Struthio camelus: one gene and its partner. The protein of the gene in region 1 purifies or fractionates together with the protein of each later gene. This does not show direct contact. Links are inferred from orthologs where the notes say so. Each region holds a gene or a part of one and is shown on either strand. Other genes may lie near its edges.

What was found. Proteins that work in one complex are often made in the same cells at the same time.
Region 2: the proteins of RNF139 (region 1) and INSIG1 purify together in Homo sapiens (affinity purification with western blotting, with the first as the bait; 3 studies listed by BioGRID). This does not show direct contact. The link is inferred for Struthio camelus from reciprocal best matches to the Homo sapiens genes RNF139 and INSIG1.

Annotation. Positions count from the first base shown.
Region 1 is NC_090943.1:160,678,990-160,686,260, reverse strand, and holds the start of RNF139 (E3 ubiquitin-protein ligase RNF139), read right to left. Parts: upstream 3,003-7,271; 5' UTR 2,960-3,002; coding exon of another isoform or gene 2,951-2,959; 5' UTR 2,800-2,950; coding exon 2,619-2,799; intron 1,966-2,618; exon of another isoform or gene 1-1,965. UniProt on the Homo sapiens protein: E3-ubiquitin ligase; acts as a negative regulator of cell proliferation through mechanisms involving G2/M arrest and cell death.
Region 2 is NC_090943.1:9,905,555-9,912,937, reverse strand, and holds the start of INSIG1 (insulin-induced gene 1 protein), read right to left. Parts: upstream 3,004-7,383; coding exon 2,607-3,003; intron 718-2,606; coding exon 593-717; intron 1-592. UniProt on the Homo sapiens protein: Oxysterol-binding protein that mediates feedback control of cholesterol synthesis by controlling both endoplasmic reticulum to Golgi transport of SCAP and degradation of HMGCR.

The DNA of each region.
Region 1 (7,271 bases):
TATCTCTAAGATTTTTTTCATGTTTCCGTATATACTGCTTTTTCCTGTGCAACTTACTACTCCTATCTGTATTATTCCATCACCATTTATCTAGTATCGCCTCCAAAAGGAGCACTTAATCAAGCCACACATATTTCTTATATTACAATGAATCTCTCTCTCTCATGTTTTTTCCCTCAACTCCTGCCATTTGCCAATATCCTTACAGTAGCACACTATCTAGAATTCTCTTTTCAGTCAATTGCAGGGCATAACTACCTTTACATGATAATATTTTAATTATGTGGAACTGCCAAATAACTCTTCTTCCTAGCCCCAGACATTCTGCTTGTTTCTGCATCCTTCCGTAAAGTACAGTATTTATAGTGACTCTGTCAGAAAATCAGTGTCCTCACTGAGGAGGGACTGTTTTCTGATGCAACTGTTCTATATTTCTGAGGTGGTGCTTCTCCTGTAATCACTTACAAAATCTGCAGTCAAAGATATGAAAGGTAAACATCATGTAGGAGACGTAAAGCAAAGTTAATCAAAACATTAGAGAGAAAAAAATTGTGTTACAGTTTTAGAACTTATTTTGTTGCTGTTTATAACCCAATGAAGTTACATACATAGAAAGTGATGGGGTGGGGGGGGGGGGGGCTGGAGAACTGTGCAGGCAACTTTAAAAAAAAAACTCCATTTAGCATTAAAAGTGAGCACATAAACACAATCCTGAAGAACTTCTTAATCATCTAATCCCATTATCATACACTTAAGAGACATCATCCAATAACAAATCCACCATTCTAATTTATGTGGGATTAATTTCAAGGCCCTTTCTACAGCATCTGGATCATACAACAAGGGACTCTGAAAATGATTTCAGTAAGGCACTGCAATGTCCATTTCCTTAGAAAGGAATATTTTGATCACCAAGAAGCATTCTTCACAGCTCTAGACGTATAAAACAAAAGTACTAGAAAATGGGAAACAGAGAGGAAGAATTCCCTCTTCGCTGTCACGAAGCCAACAGTACCAGCTGCAATACATGACAAAGTAGCTAAGTCAGAATCTTCCAGGCCTACGCTTCTCATAAGGACAGCAACTTTCCCAGACATCCTTTACCAAAGAAGAAAGCGCACACCTGAACTACCTGCTTTGTTATTTTCTTGCCTCACTCTCCTGTTATCTGCTATCTTACTACAGATTATCCTTCACTTCTTCCCCTCTGCTCTCCAGCTACTGCAGTACTGTCACCCCTGCACTTCTCGCTGTGCATCTTCTTTCCTGTTCACCTCCCTTCTTGCATTCCTAATCTTCCCATAATATCAGATTTTTCATAGTATCATAATTTTTCATAAAATCCAACAAAACGTCAACACATCAGGGGCCTGCAAAAATCCTAGCTGTATTTCATGTTCCTCTGCTTTCCTTCCTGACTCAGGATTCCAGTATAATTCACCACGACTTGTTTAGCTGTTAACGCAATGTCGTTTATAATCCAATGAACCCAACCTTGCTTGGGTTGCATAAAGAACCTCTCATTACACTGTATGTAACACTGAGAATAGTAGCACATAGTGATTTATACAAACGACTTTCAGCCTTCATCCCAGGATTAGAAAAAAAAAAAAGTTCAAAAATATCCAGTTTTAAGAGACCCCTCCAGTTCTATTCCACTTGGGATTCAAGTTTCGAGCGTTTTTGAACTGCCATTCCTAAAATAAGGGCTTCAGCAGCGTATTTCGGGAAGACACCACACTATCCAAGTGCTTTTTTTTTTTTTTTAACGTCTACAATCACGATGTCACAAGGTTTCCACAGGCACGGTGGAAACCTCCAGACTACAGCCACCACCCCCTCCGCTCGCAGTAGAGAAGCGGCAAGTCACAGCAACGCAAAGCTGCCACATGGCACAAAACCCATCCCGCTCCATTAAACATCGCCAAACCCGATTCGGGTCCGCTACTTCGGCCGCCCTGGCACCCCTCGGCCGCCCACCAGCATCACGGCGGTACGTGGGAGCCGTCCCAGCCAGCTCGAGCAGTTCCCCTGGGTTAACTCGCTCAGGAGGCACGAAAGGACGGCACCGGAGCGGGCCGGGCGGACAGCCGGGGGCGCCCAGCAGGTCCCCGCCATGGCGCCGGGGAGGGGACAGCCAAGGGCTGCAAAGGAGGAGAACAAGCACTCCGGCTCCCGACGGGAGGGCGGGAAGATGAGCTACCAGAGCAGCACACCAGGAGGAGCGAGTGAGCAGGGGGCTGGGGGGGGGGGGGGGGGGGAGCCTAGAGTAGCAGAAAGGAAACAGCCAGAAGGGGGTCAGAGATAGGGGAAAGGGGGGGGGGGGGGGGAAGGAGAGAGACAGGCCGTAACAGCAGGGATAAATAAATAAGTAATAATAAAAAAAAAAAAAGACGCTCGGGAAAGGGAGCGGAAGAGAGCAGCAGCAGCGCCCACCCCCTGCCTGCAGCCGTAAACAAGGCCAGCGGCGGGGGGTGGGGGGGGGGCGGCAGCGGCCCCGCGGGCTCCCCGTGACGGGGGGGGGGGGGGGGGGGGAGCAGCACCGGCCCGGGCCGGGCAGGAAGGCCGGAGGCGAGGCGGCGGGGGCCGCCCGGGCGCCGGACGGGAAGGTCGCTCACCCAGCAGCCGCAGCAGCACGCCCAGCAACGCGGCGCTCAAGGAGCCCCCCGGCAGCGGGGACGAGTTGAAGATGGCGTCGATGAGGAACAGGCTGGGCACCCGCAGCGCGACCTCCAGCCCGGCCCGCAGCCGCGGGCCCAGCCGCAGCCACGGCAGCTGCGGAGGGCCCGGCGCCGCCATCCCCTTGCGCGGGGCGGGGAGGAGGGGGGGGGGGGAAGGCGGCTTGCGCCTCCCGCCTTTCACAAGCGGCGCCTGGGGAAGGGAAAACCCGGCGGAGCCGCTACCGCCTCGCTCCCGCCGCTCGGCCCGGCCAGGCCCCCCGCAGCGCCGCCGCCTCCATCTTCCCTCTCCGCTCCCTCAGCAGGTTCGGCCCGAGCCGGGCCGGGGGGCGGGGCGGGGCGGGGGAGAAGGGCGGGGCCGCGCGCGCCCGCGCGTCACAAAGCGCGGCCCCGCCCCCGGCTTCCACGCGGGCGGGAGGGGGCGGTGGGCGCTGCGTTCGCTCCCCCCCCCCTCCCCCCCTCCCCCGTCCCTTCCCGCGCGGCCGCCGCAACCGCCGCCGCAACCGCCGCCGCGTGCGCCCCGTCAGGGAGCTCCCGCGGCTGGCGGCCGCCCGCTCCGCGCGCTCCCTCCGGCGGCCTGAGCTGGCCGCAGGCCTGCCGCTCGGGTAAACCCCGCTCCCACAGGGGAGCCCTCGGCAGCTGCTCTCTTGCCGCTCTGAACGCTGCCCCAGCCTCGATCCTAAAAGCGTTCACGCTGCTAATCCCCGGGTGGCAGACGTCAAAGCTCTCCCTGTCCCTTCCGCTTCCTACCCGCCTCCCGAGGGAGCCGCTCTGCGCACGTCCCACCGCAGGGTGTCTGCCCTCGGGCGCTGCACGGCCGTTTCAGACGCACCCGCGTCGTCTGGGCAGCGTTTCAGGTACAGGCGGCGTGGACGCCTAGCGCCCTGCGAGGCCAGCGCCAGCCCGGCTCCGCTCTCCCGGTTGCCGACCCCCCAGAAAACACTCTGTCCCTGCGCAAAACACAGCACGTGTCGTCACGTGGAGGACGAGCCAGGATTCATTCCTCGCATTTGCGAAAACACTGCTTCAAAACAAAGAAACCTTTTCAAACAAGAACACGTGTTGGTGCTGTGGTGGCCGTGAACCTCTGCCAGCCCCCGAGCAGGCTGCCTGAGACACAGTCCTGCCGGCCTGACGTCTGCAGCAAGCCGGCAATTTTTGTTTTCGCGACAGAAATCTGTAATTTGCTCTCTAAGCCTTTGCGCGCACCGTCTTTCTTTGTAAAATTTCCCCGCGTCTGCGTTTTCGCCTTCTTGCCAATGTTTAGGTGTAGTCAGCCTTAACGTAATCGTTTCCTGGCTTTTAAGTGAGTAATTCACCTTGGAAAAAATAAAGATCTTTTAATTAGGGAATGATTACGTAGAATTTCCTGTTTTTTCACATGTGATACAAAGCCCTGTCTTATTCTAAGCATAAGCATATATCTAGATCATATGGAAAAAAAGGCATTTTTCTTTGAAACCGTGTCTCCTTCCCCATGCATCCTCACGGAAGTACAGCTTATACCGTACCTTAACTTTCGGAAGCCTCAAGCTGACTTGATTTAAATAAATTTAATAAAAAAAAAGTAATGTAAGTGCAAATGTGTAATCAATATTAATCCCTTTGGGGAAAAAAAAGTGGCATTTTCCAATGAGTTTTGTGAATTAAAAGCAGTTTTCAGACGGCAATTGAAATCGGCTTGTATGCTTTTTGGCGTCTGCCGCCGTGTGATTTGTTGCAAATGTCTACTTTTACCTTCACCTGTCATAGCTCGGCCTTTTCACACGTCTGACTGCCTCATGGCTTAAGCCCTTAGAAGTCTTTCTATTATTTTCAAAGGATTTTGAATCAGGCCCAGCCGTGTGGCGCATGCACTTTTCTAAGCAGTGCGCCACACTAACAAAACCAGAGACGTTACCAAATTGCTACAGGATCGTATTACAAAATCCAGCTACATGGACAAAGTGCATTTTTTAATCACTATCTAAAAGGCATGACTCTGACCTAGTAACTATCCCAATGCCAAATAGTAGTTGGAGGTTAGAGGTTTAAAATGCAGAGTGCATGTTTCTTTATGTTGCTTCTGCTTGAAGGTGGCTGAATCACAGTGATTCAACCTTTCCTGAGTAAATTTACACCTTAGCTAAGTATAAAGCTGCTAAATATTAATAAAAACATTTGATTTGCGTTGAAAAGCAATGTAAATCAAGTGGATCTGTGATGTTTGCTTGATAATTCAGCATAATCCATATGAAAATTCATTTCTGTGAGGTGCAGTTTCAAAAAGTCAGCAACTTAAAGCACTTGTCTGCGGAAGTGGAATTACGTGCCCTCCTGCAGCACTTCCAACCTCGCTTAAGATCTCCGTGAGTAAAGAGGAGCTTGCATCTATTTTTGCAATACAGGCCTCAGAATCAAAGGCAATGTTGTAGTATATATTTATACGGCGTTAAGGACATACGAATTAAATCGAATCCGTTAAATGGATTTTCAGGTTTAAATATGTGCATTTACAGGCATATCTTACACATGTTATTGAGGCGTGTAAGTACAGTCCTGGCTATGTGTAAATTATTTGGTGCATAAACATTTCCAGATTACAAGTGTTTCAGAAATCCTAGTGTTACTAAAGTGTATCAGATCAAATTCATACGTTTTACATGCTCTTCTGAAAACATGTTCCAGTGTTTAAGACTCCTGCTGTGAATTTAAATTCTAAATAAAAAAATTCTAAACTTGATTATCATATATACAATATGAATGAAGGTGACACCTGCTGGGTACTTGTAATTTTGCAGTTTGCGCTACTGAAAGCTTTAAATGTGCAATAATGAACCAAATCCAACGTTGTTACACAAGCATAACTATTAAATTCACTTCAATTATATATACACATCCAAGAAAATTTGTCAATTTTTTTTTTGGGGGGGGTTAAATCCAGTCTCAAATTCTTTCTAATGTATATTATAAGGTTAGATCCTATTCTGTGTAAATTCATATTAATACTCCTAGGAAAAAAAAGTGTTCTTATACGGTTGGGGACTTATGCAATTTCTTGTTGATAAGCTAACGTATAATTTAGGCATAAAATTCCTTTATTTGTCTATATAGATAAATTCTCAGGGGCAAAGGGTTCTGAACTCCAAAGTGAAGCTTGCTCCACATGTCACTTGTGGCTGCACGTACCTGACTTTTACAAAGTGTCAAGTGTCAAGCCTAAATCCCTTGACAAGATAGCACAAAAGAACGTGATTGTTTACTTGATAATGCATAAGAACGTAAACCTAGAAAGTGCTTTCTGAAGAACTAAATACACCTCTTTTTGCAGGCAAGGAGTCGTAAAATTCCCGATCAATTTATTTGAATAATGAATAAAAGTCACTGTAATTGTTTGATGTTTTCTACAGCGTGTAGCAGAAGGTTGGGCTTTTATTCTCTGTTATTTAAAATGATTTATGTGTTTTCTCACAGCTCAGAGTGGTCAAAATACAGTTTTTCAAAAGCTATTAAAAATCCCGAATTTGAGATATTTGGAGCAAGATGAACTGCATAAATACAGATTATCAAGTGCAGCCTCTGATTAACCTCTTTGAATTACAGCTAGTTTAATAACATACTGAAATAACCCTTGTTATCCTATGGAATGGTAGAAATGCATCCTTTTTATACCTGTCTGCCAAAGGAATGTTTGGGGTCTGTGTCCGTATGTGTTGGCCACATCTACAGCTGCTCCTTGGCAAAACAACTTTTGAGCTGTTAAAACTCCTCCTCTCGCTTAAGCCTTCTCACGAGCCCTTCACGGCAACAACTTTACTGAATTAAAGCCAATGCTTACATCAGATATTGCAAAATCACATGGTCTTGCAAAAAGCATATTTTTTAAGGAAAGAGGACAACAATGCAGGGAAGGTCTTAGAATACTGTTGCTGTTTCTAGCTACATGACCTGCGAAGCTTTAAATATATCCAGTGTCTTTTCCACGACACATACACTTAGCCTGATGCAAAGATAGTAAGTTTTGCAAGAACTGTAATAGTTGGATGCTAAGAAAAGCTCAGTTCAAAATGTGCGTGTCAAAAATCACAAGTTTTCATTTGCCATGAATGTAACAACCCATTAACTTTTCCCAAATTTTATTTCTCCTTCCCAAATTTCTTTTGCAATGAACTATCTGAAGTGTAAGAAGAAAGCTCTGTATAGTATGTCATTCCTTTTTTCACAGCAGTTTTTAATTAAAATGAATAAGGCCATCTGTATCCTGGACCGAACCAAAAAAACAAGCATCGTGCAAGGAACCTAAAGCGGACAACAATAATTTCTATGCCTAGGATGATATTCTAGCATAAGAGAGATTCATGTGCATGATTTTTTTAAAAAAGCCAAGTGTCAGTGCTTTATTAATGTAAGCTTTGCTGGATTCAGTGTGTGGGTGACACCCAGCTGTGTCTTGGTAAAATTAGCTCATAACCACCTGTAGAGGACAGCTTATGTCATCAGTTCTGCTTGTGTGAATTCAGTGTTCACAGGCTTGTAAAGATGTGTGCTACTGATAAGATCGAAATATCAACAGCAGATAGATACTTTCCTAAAGCTGAACCTGTTGTTCTGCAA
Region 2 (7,383 bases), about 150 Mb from region 1:
GTATATCTCAATGCGATACGCTTAGGATCTGGTTTTCAGGCCTGCTGAGCCATCGCTGCTCTTGCTGACTTTATCTGGAGTGTGAGTGCAAAGACAACATCAATTCTTCTCACACTGAGTAGCCTTTCGCTACCTATACTATACGCTATTATATTTAACTCTCACGGATTTTTGTCCCAGGTAACCTGCTGATTTAGGTTTTCTGCTCAAATCATTACTATTCAACACAAAACCAACACTTTTACACAACAGCTGAGTGCATCTCTCTTGTTAATATATTCAGTTTTTTAATCTGTGTGCTGTCTACACCTAATAACACAAATTACACTGTTACACTCACAGTTGTATCGGATATTATAGCATGCCTACTCCTGCCTACTCCTCCCCCAACCCAAAATCTAATTATTAAATGGACTATGGTGCTCTCAAACTTCTGTAAAACTTCCAACACAATACTTTATGTCCCTCTATGTCTCGGCCAGTAGCACCATCCTTACCTTTGTAAGACCCCAAAACATAGATGGAAGAGACTGTTTCATGACAATGAAACACTAAGCACAGCAACTAACAGTATAAATGCGTTCAAGGATACAGCACTTGCATGATTAATACCAACGAAAACTGCTATGCATCGCATTACACTGGCCCACTCTCTCTTGAACTTGTGCGGTTCTCCAAGGTGGCTGTCAATGCAGGGATACAGCAGGCCAACAACAGCTGCAACGGAATCAATTAAGAGTACTAGTATTAGCCATTACACAATGATCATTCCAATGCTGCTAAATATTAGCTTGGCAAATAAGTGATTGACAAAGCCACCTAAGTAGTCAAGAGCCCATCATGCTACTGTAAGGCAGATGAAGTCAGTTATTAACACCCTCCCCAAACACCCCCCCTCCCTTTTTTTTTTTTTTGGAAAAAGACGTTTTAAAGTAACATTCTTCTTGAACCTGTAAAACAGTTATGCTGCAAGATTAAGGTACATGTGCAGAACAGCAAGTTTTACAAACTTGATTCATTAGCTGTCAACCAGTCCCTGAAGTAACGTTTGCTGGACTTAAAAGTTTCTTGGCAGGAGTTGCTTTCTTTCCTTCTACAGGATCATGAGGCTAACCTCTTCAAATCAACTGCGTTTTGATATCAAATAGAGGCTGGACAGAATTTAAGGAAGTGACTGCTAGCAGTCATTCATGCCAGTGAAAAAAAATTACTCATTATTAAGCAGAGGAAGTTTTGCCCTAACAGAGCATTTTCTCAGTCTGCAAACAAGGTTATAAGAAAAAAAGGTTAGCATGATCTTGCTACTAGCACAAACACTAGGTGAGTTTTACTCTTCTAAGGCTTGCAATTCCTTACAAGGTCACAAGCCCCAGGTTTAGACATGCTACTTTAACTATAGTATATTTGCTTGTTTCCTTACCCTATTTTTTCCCTTAACTTCTAAAAGGAACGATTTTATGTGAAGAACACTACAAGACACATCATTCTATGAAAAAGTACAAGTGACTGGATTACGAGGAGTTTTCATTTTCTCATGCCAGTTGCCAGGATTGTCGAGCAGGATTTTTACCTTACGGTAACAACTAAATGACAAAGTTTTACTCCTGTTGGAACAGGATCATTGGAACTCTCACTAGAGCCCATTTTACGGCAATCTCTTTTCACTACATGAGTTATCATTCCTTTTAGCAAAAGATTATTCATTTCCACTTTCTTACTACAAGCAGCACAAGACAATACTTGCACTGCCACTGACATATTTATTCCCTTAACCCTTCGCTAAAGTAGTACATGCATACGAGACGTTTGATAAAAATCAGGATTCTGATTTTAACACTAGTCAATCAGATAAACGCCCGCTGCTGTTTCGATTACAGCACACAAAGGCCTCTCATTTCCACCGGGTGTTTTGCGCCGTGGCTCTGCGTGCACCCGCGGGCGCTGGCAGCGGCGGTGCCCCGCGGAGGGGGGGGGGGGGCGCGGGACCCAGCGCCCCCGCACTGCTCCCAGCCCGCCACCGCACGTGACTTCCTTGTTTTCGGCCCGTGGCATGTTGGCCGCGCCAGCCAATGGGGAGAGCCCGCGGCGACTCACCAGTTCCGGTGGGAGCCAATCAGAGCGCGAGTAGAGGTGACGCGCACCGCGGCCGCTGCGCCGGCTCCGAGCGGCCCGGCCGGGCCCGGCGGTGGCGGCGGGGGAGAGGGAGCCGGGGCTGCGGCGGAGGGCGCACAGCCGCCGCCTTTTTTTGCAGCAGGCCGAGGTTTACATACACGCCTTCTGCTGGCCCCGCATTACTGGGTGGGGGTACACGTGCTGCTTCATGCTTCAAAATTACAGCGCACTTCCCCAAAAAAGAGATGCGCTTCAGGTGTATTACTGAACTCAACTAAGATCAGAAAACGTGCAGACAAGTATAAAAGGTGTGTTGGTTCCTGGATAAAGCTGGAATCAATCTAGGTCCAAAAAAACCAGAATTTACATCACTTACATTCTACACACCAAATGCTGTAAGCGCAACGCTCCAACACACACAGGCCAAACATTCAGCGCTGCTGCCTTGCCTTCCCACAGGAGGGGAAGGAAAACCGGTCACGAAAGGGACTCACCTGCAGCCGTCCCACAGCAAGGGGGCACCCACCAGGCAGAGGGGAAGATCGTGGAAATGACTTCTTCAGGGAATAGAGTCACATTTCTCTGGATCTGCAGCAAGTTCAGCACCAATGCCATGAAAGCACCAACAACAAAGAGGACCACACTCCTCTGCACAAGGTGTTGACTCAAGTTCAAGGTGCTACTGCTGCTACTGGAATTACTGCTGACACTGGAGGTGCTGGGGCTCCGTGCTCCATGACCCACCAAAGCCAGCGAGGAGTTTGAGACAGAGGAGCTCAGCATCTCGCCCACCTTGGCGGCCAGCCCAGCAGCAGTGTCCCCCAGGTGGTTTTTATGCCTTCCCCTGGCAGCGCAGGAACAGCTCCAGGTGCAGTTCTCTAACCTGGGCATTGGCTTCACCCGGGTCCTGAAACACACGCACAGCGACAGCCTGTTACGACTCCAAAACGACGGGGCGGTTCAAGCCCAAGCCGTTATACAGTGCTGACGTACAGACCAGAAACAAAACAACACGCACTTCTACAACACTAGCCACGTGGAAGCTTTAAAGGCACCGGGCAAACAGCCTTACAAGCCCGACAGACGGCCGCGGAGGGAGGTGCTGAACAGGAAAGTAAGATGCGGGCGGAAGCGGTGCGAGCGGACACAGCAGAGCTGCTGCGGGCTCCGGGGCCGCGCAGGCCGGGGCTGCCCCTGGCACCCCCGCTTCTCCGAGGAGGGGGGGAACCGCTGTCCAGATAACCGGGGTGAACACACAACCGCAGGGACCTCCAGGAGCATCCCCCCCCCCCTCCGGCCAGGATCCCGGCCAGACTCGCCCAGCCCCCTTTCTCCTGAGGGGAATGGAAGCGGTTTCCCCAATTCCGAGGCGTAAAACCATCCTCCCCCCAACCCCACCGCCTTCCCGCCGCTGTCCCTGCCCAAGGAGCGGGTCCCGCGGGCACCCGCGGCCGGGCCTCACCTCGCCTCGCTTCAGGGGGCCGCTCCGTCAGCGGGGAGAAGGGCGGAGGGTGAACGGCCGCCGCTCCTGCCGCCTCCCTCGCCCTCCCGCCCCGCGCTCTCGGCTCGCTGGCCCCGGCCCGCTCCCGGCCTAAGGTTTATAAGCCTCCGGCCCCGGGTGTCACGTTATCCGCCGCCGACCTACCCACAGCCAGAGGCAGAGACGGCCCCGCTGCTCCGCCACCCCCTCCCCTCGGCCGGGCCGGGCCGGGCCGGGCCGGGCTGGGCGGGCGGGGCGGCGGCGGCGGGGGAGGGGCAGGGGCAGAGCGCGGGAGCCGCCACGCCAGCCCGGGCTCCGGCCCCCGGTCGGGTGAGGCGCGACAGCCAATCAGAGCCGGGCGGCTGATATGACGTCGAGGACACACCACCCGCCTTCCTCTCTCTCGCTGTCTGCGCACCAACCACCCCCCCCCCCCGCCCCTCGCTGCCACCGCCGCCAGCTGACGGTGCGGCCAATAGCGGGCGGGGCGGCGGCGGCGGAGGAGGACGCGCGCGTGGCGCGTGGCGCGCGCCGCTTCGGGGCGGGGGAGGGGGCGGACGCACGTGCGCCACGCCCTCAACGGTCGGCGCCAACGGAGCGCGCCGGCCGTTTGTAACGGCTCGCCGGCGGGAGGGGGGGGAAGAGGGAAAGGGGAAGGGGCGCCACGACGACGAGGGTCACCTTGCCGCCTACCGCAGCCGGTGCGAATGGAGCAGGGGCGGCGGCCTCGGCAGCCTGGCCCTCAGGGGCTTGCCAGGCTCGCCAGGATGGGTGATCGCCTCGGGCGATGGCGTTTAGTCAAGGGGGGAAGTCGAAGGCGACTGACTGCCCAGGCTTCTCCAGAAGTTCAAGCGCTCGGCGTTCCTCGCTCGCTTGATCATACAATCACAGCGTTAAGAGGATCATGCCGAACCCAGATAGCTGCGAAAGAGGCCGGCTGGAGAGAGGGCCCATTTGGTCTCGAGCTCTTGACTTTTACCCCTGCACGCTGATAACCTGAACGGTTTACGTCACTGGTGAAATCTGAGTCATGATGCGCCCGGCCTCATAGCGTCGTTAAAATACGGTTAGATACAAGTTCGCCCACTGAATTCTGCGGGGGTCTGGAAACTGATAGGACGGGTGTGCTACGTATATGTTAGAATTTAGCACGACAAGTTGTCTAGGTAGCAGGACTCAGCTGCTAAGTTTTGGTTTAAAATACTGGTTCTCCAGGACACTTTGGAAACTAGCGCTTAGATGCAGGAAGAGTAACTGGATTTGTGGTTCATTTAGATAGCATCACTGGAGCCAGCAGGTCTTTCTTTTTCACAGGAGATGCACTCTATTTATAGTGTGAAAGGATGTAAGACCCAATGGCTTCCCGAGCGATAACACTGAGGATTTAAGCATCTTCATGCGCTTGCTAGCCTTGACCGTGAGGGCAGAATAATGATCCAAGTTCAACTCTGTTGGGTCTCATTGCTGTGTTAAATGGAACAAACGTCGATAAAACATAAGGAAAGAGGTGTGCCCGCTGTATATGGTAAAGAGCAAAATTCGTCTAGGATAAGTTTATCCATTCTCATCGTTTGGTCAGTTCCAGCTAGCATGTAAAGAGTTAGGATAGCTGAACGCACAGAGCAATGTGCCCTTGGGCTGAATATTTGTCTGCTTTGTGATGGAGGAATTGTTAGTGCCGTTGTTTGGAGTGACAGAGGAGTTGAATATTTTGCTCTTAATAATGACTAGCTTGGGAACAGACCAGTTCTGCCTTGCTGACCTTATCATTGGACTGCCATATAACATGTATATCTGTATATGTGGTGTCATAAATGATGAGTTTCTATTGGTGTCTTATCTCCATAGTATGATCGAGTGTTAAAAAAGCTATAGGTTTTAGTCTGATATGTTAAAATTGTTTGCAGTCTTCTGTCAGATTTTTAAGACGTTGTATTGTCTAAGTGTATGTGCTATATAGTTCTTATAGTGTCTTTTAGTTAGTTCAGATGTCTCTGATAATTTGAATTTTGGGTATATTAACTGCATATTCAATTTATTTTTATAGTACAGTTTTTTTTTCCTTCTAACTTCAAGTAAAATAAAATATCACTAGTAGTAACTTTCAGTCTATCCTTTCAAAAATCTCACCCATTTTCCTTCAGTTGTTTCTACAGCAATTATATTGTTGATCAAGACGTTGACTGAAGAGTTATCTTCTGAATAAACACTGCCAGTTTGGTTTAGTTACAGTGAAATGTAACACACCAGAATTCTAGCTTTGTCTCAGGACAACAAAATGCTGTTGTGCCAATTAATATAGAGTTTCCGTTTTTCATCTTGAAAGAATATACCATTTCCTTCTTCCTGCTTCACTAAGCATTCTTATGTCTATGCAAATAGTTTTGTGTCTTAGTTCCATGAGCTACTGACATTGCAATGCAGTATTGCACTTTGCATTACACCATTCATTTCTTCATTTTGTTTTCTGACTCAGTGGGCCTGCATTGGGTCTGTTTAAGTTAACCATTTTCAGAGAAAGCACTCTTAATATATTGTCAGCATTTTATGAGTTCCTCTGCAGACACATTTGATTTGTTTCAGGAAATCACATGCAGACATTACATTTCTCTTCGTGGCAACTGCGTACAAGGTTTGAATTGACACAGGCAATTTATCTGTGTCCCTGGACTGCTAAGCAATACCTTAGGCAACTCTAAATAAGGGCTCAAACTCATTCCCTGGGAAATTTTCCTTCATGTTGAATCACTTTAAGATTTATCAACAGGACTGCAGATCGGAGATAAAATGACCCATCTTCGTAAGAAATGTCTTTTTGGAGTTGGCTTCTGGAAAAGAAATACAATTCATCCTTGCTTGTGCTACATCTCTACTTTATTTGAAAAGATACATTTCTGTATTAAAATTTTTTTCCCCAACTCTTAGTGTCTGGGCAGAGTTCACGTTCCCTCGTGCTGTGTCTACTAGTTTTCTTTCCTGAAACGGCTTCTTAAGCATTTTTTTATCGTGTGTCTTTTTTTCCTTATGGGTATATCTCTCTTGCTTCTTCTTGCAGCATCTTTTTACTACTTATTAGATTTTTTTTTTTCATATTTGTAATAGCATGTGGTAGTGCCCTGCTTTCTTCCAGGCTTATTTCAGATAGCAGAGACCAACTTCTGAGATGGTATAACTTGCTGTAGCTTCACTGAAACCACTAGAAGCAATATGAATCTGTACTAGTTGAGAAATTGGCCCTAACATTTTTTTGTGAAGCTTTATGCTTAAAGGTTAAATGCTTCTTTATGGTTTTGTTGCTTTGGCCTTATATGTAGTTTTCTGAAATTTTTTGCTTACAATAAAGGTTAAATACTTCTTTATGTTTTTGTTGCTTTAAAGGTCATAATGCTTTGCATTTCCTTGTAGAATCCTAAAAAGGGGTAGGCCTCCATATGCTTTGGTTAGTGCATGAAATTTTATACTTTACTGTTATTTCTGGAGAGAAGTGCTCCTGTATCTTTGTAGGATTAATGACAGTTATTTTTGTCTCATTCAGCAGCAAAGACAGCAGATTTCTGTAAGTTCTCAGCATCGTTACTCGTTACATAAATAATTTCACCTTTTTCATGCTTTCTGTACTAAACTGTGACATTTTGAAATCTGACAACATGTTATCTCACCCAGACTATTTCATGGGTCTCTTACTCAGGGAACTAGGTGAGATACTTAGACATTTTATTTTTCTCCCTATTTACACTGGGTCAAAAAAAATGAGTTAGTTGCTGATACAATCTTAGAAGCCAGTGATGGAG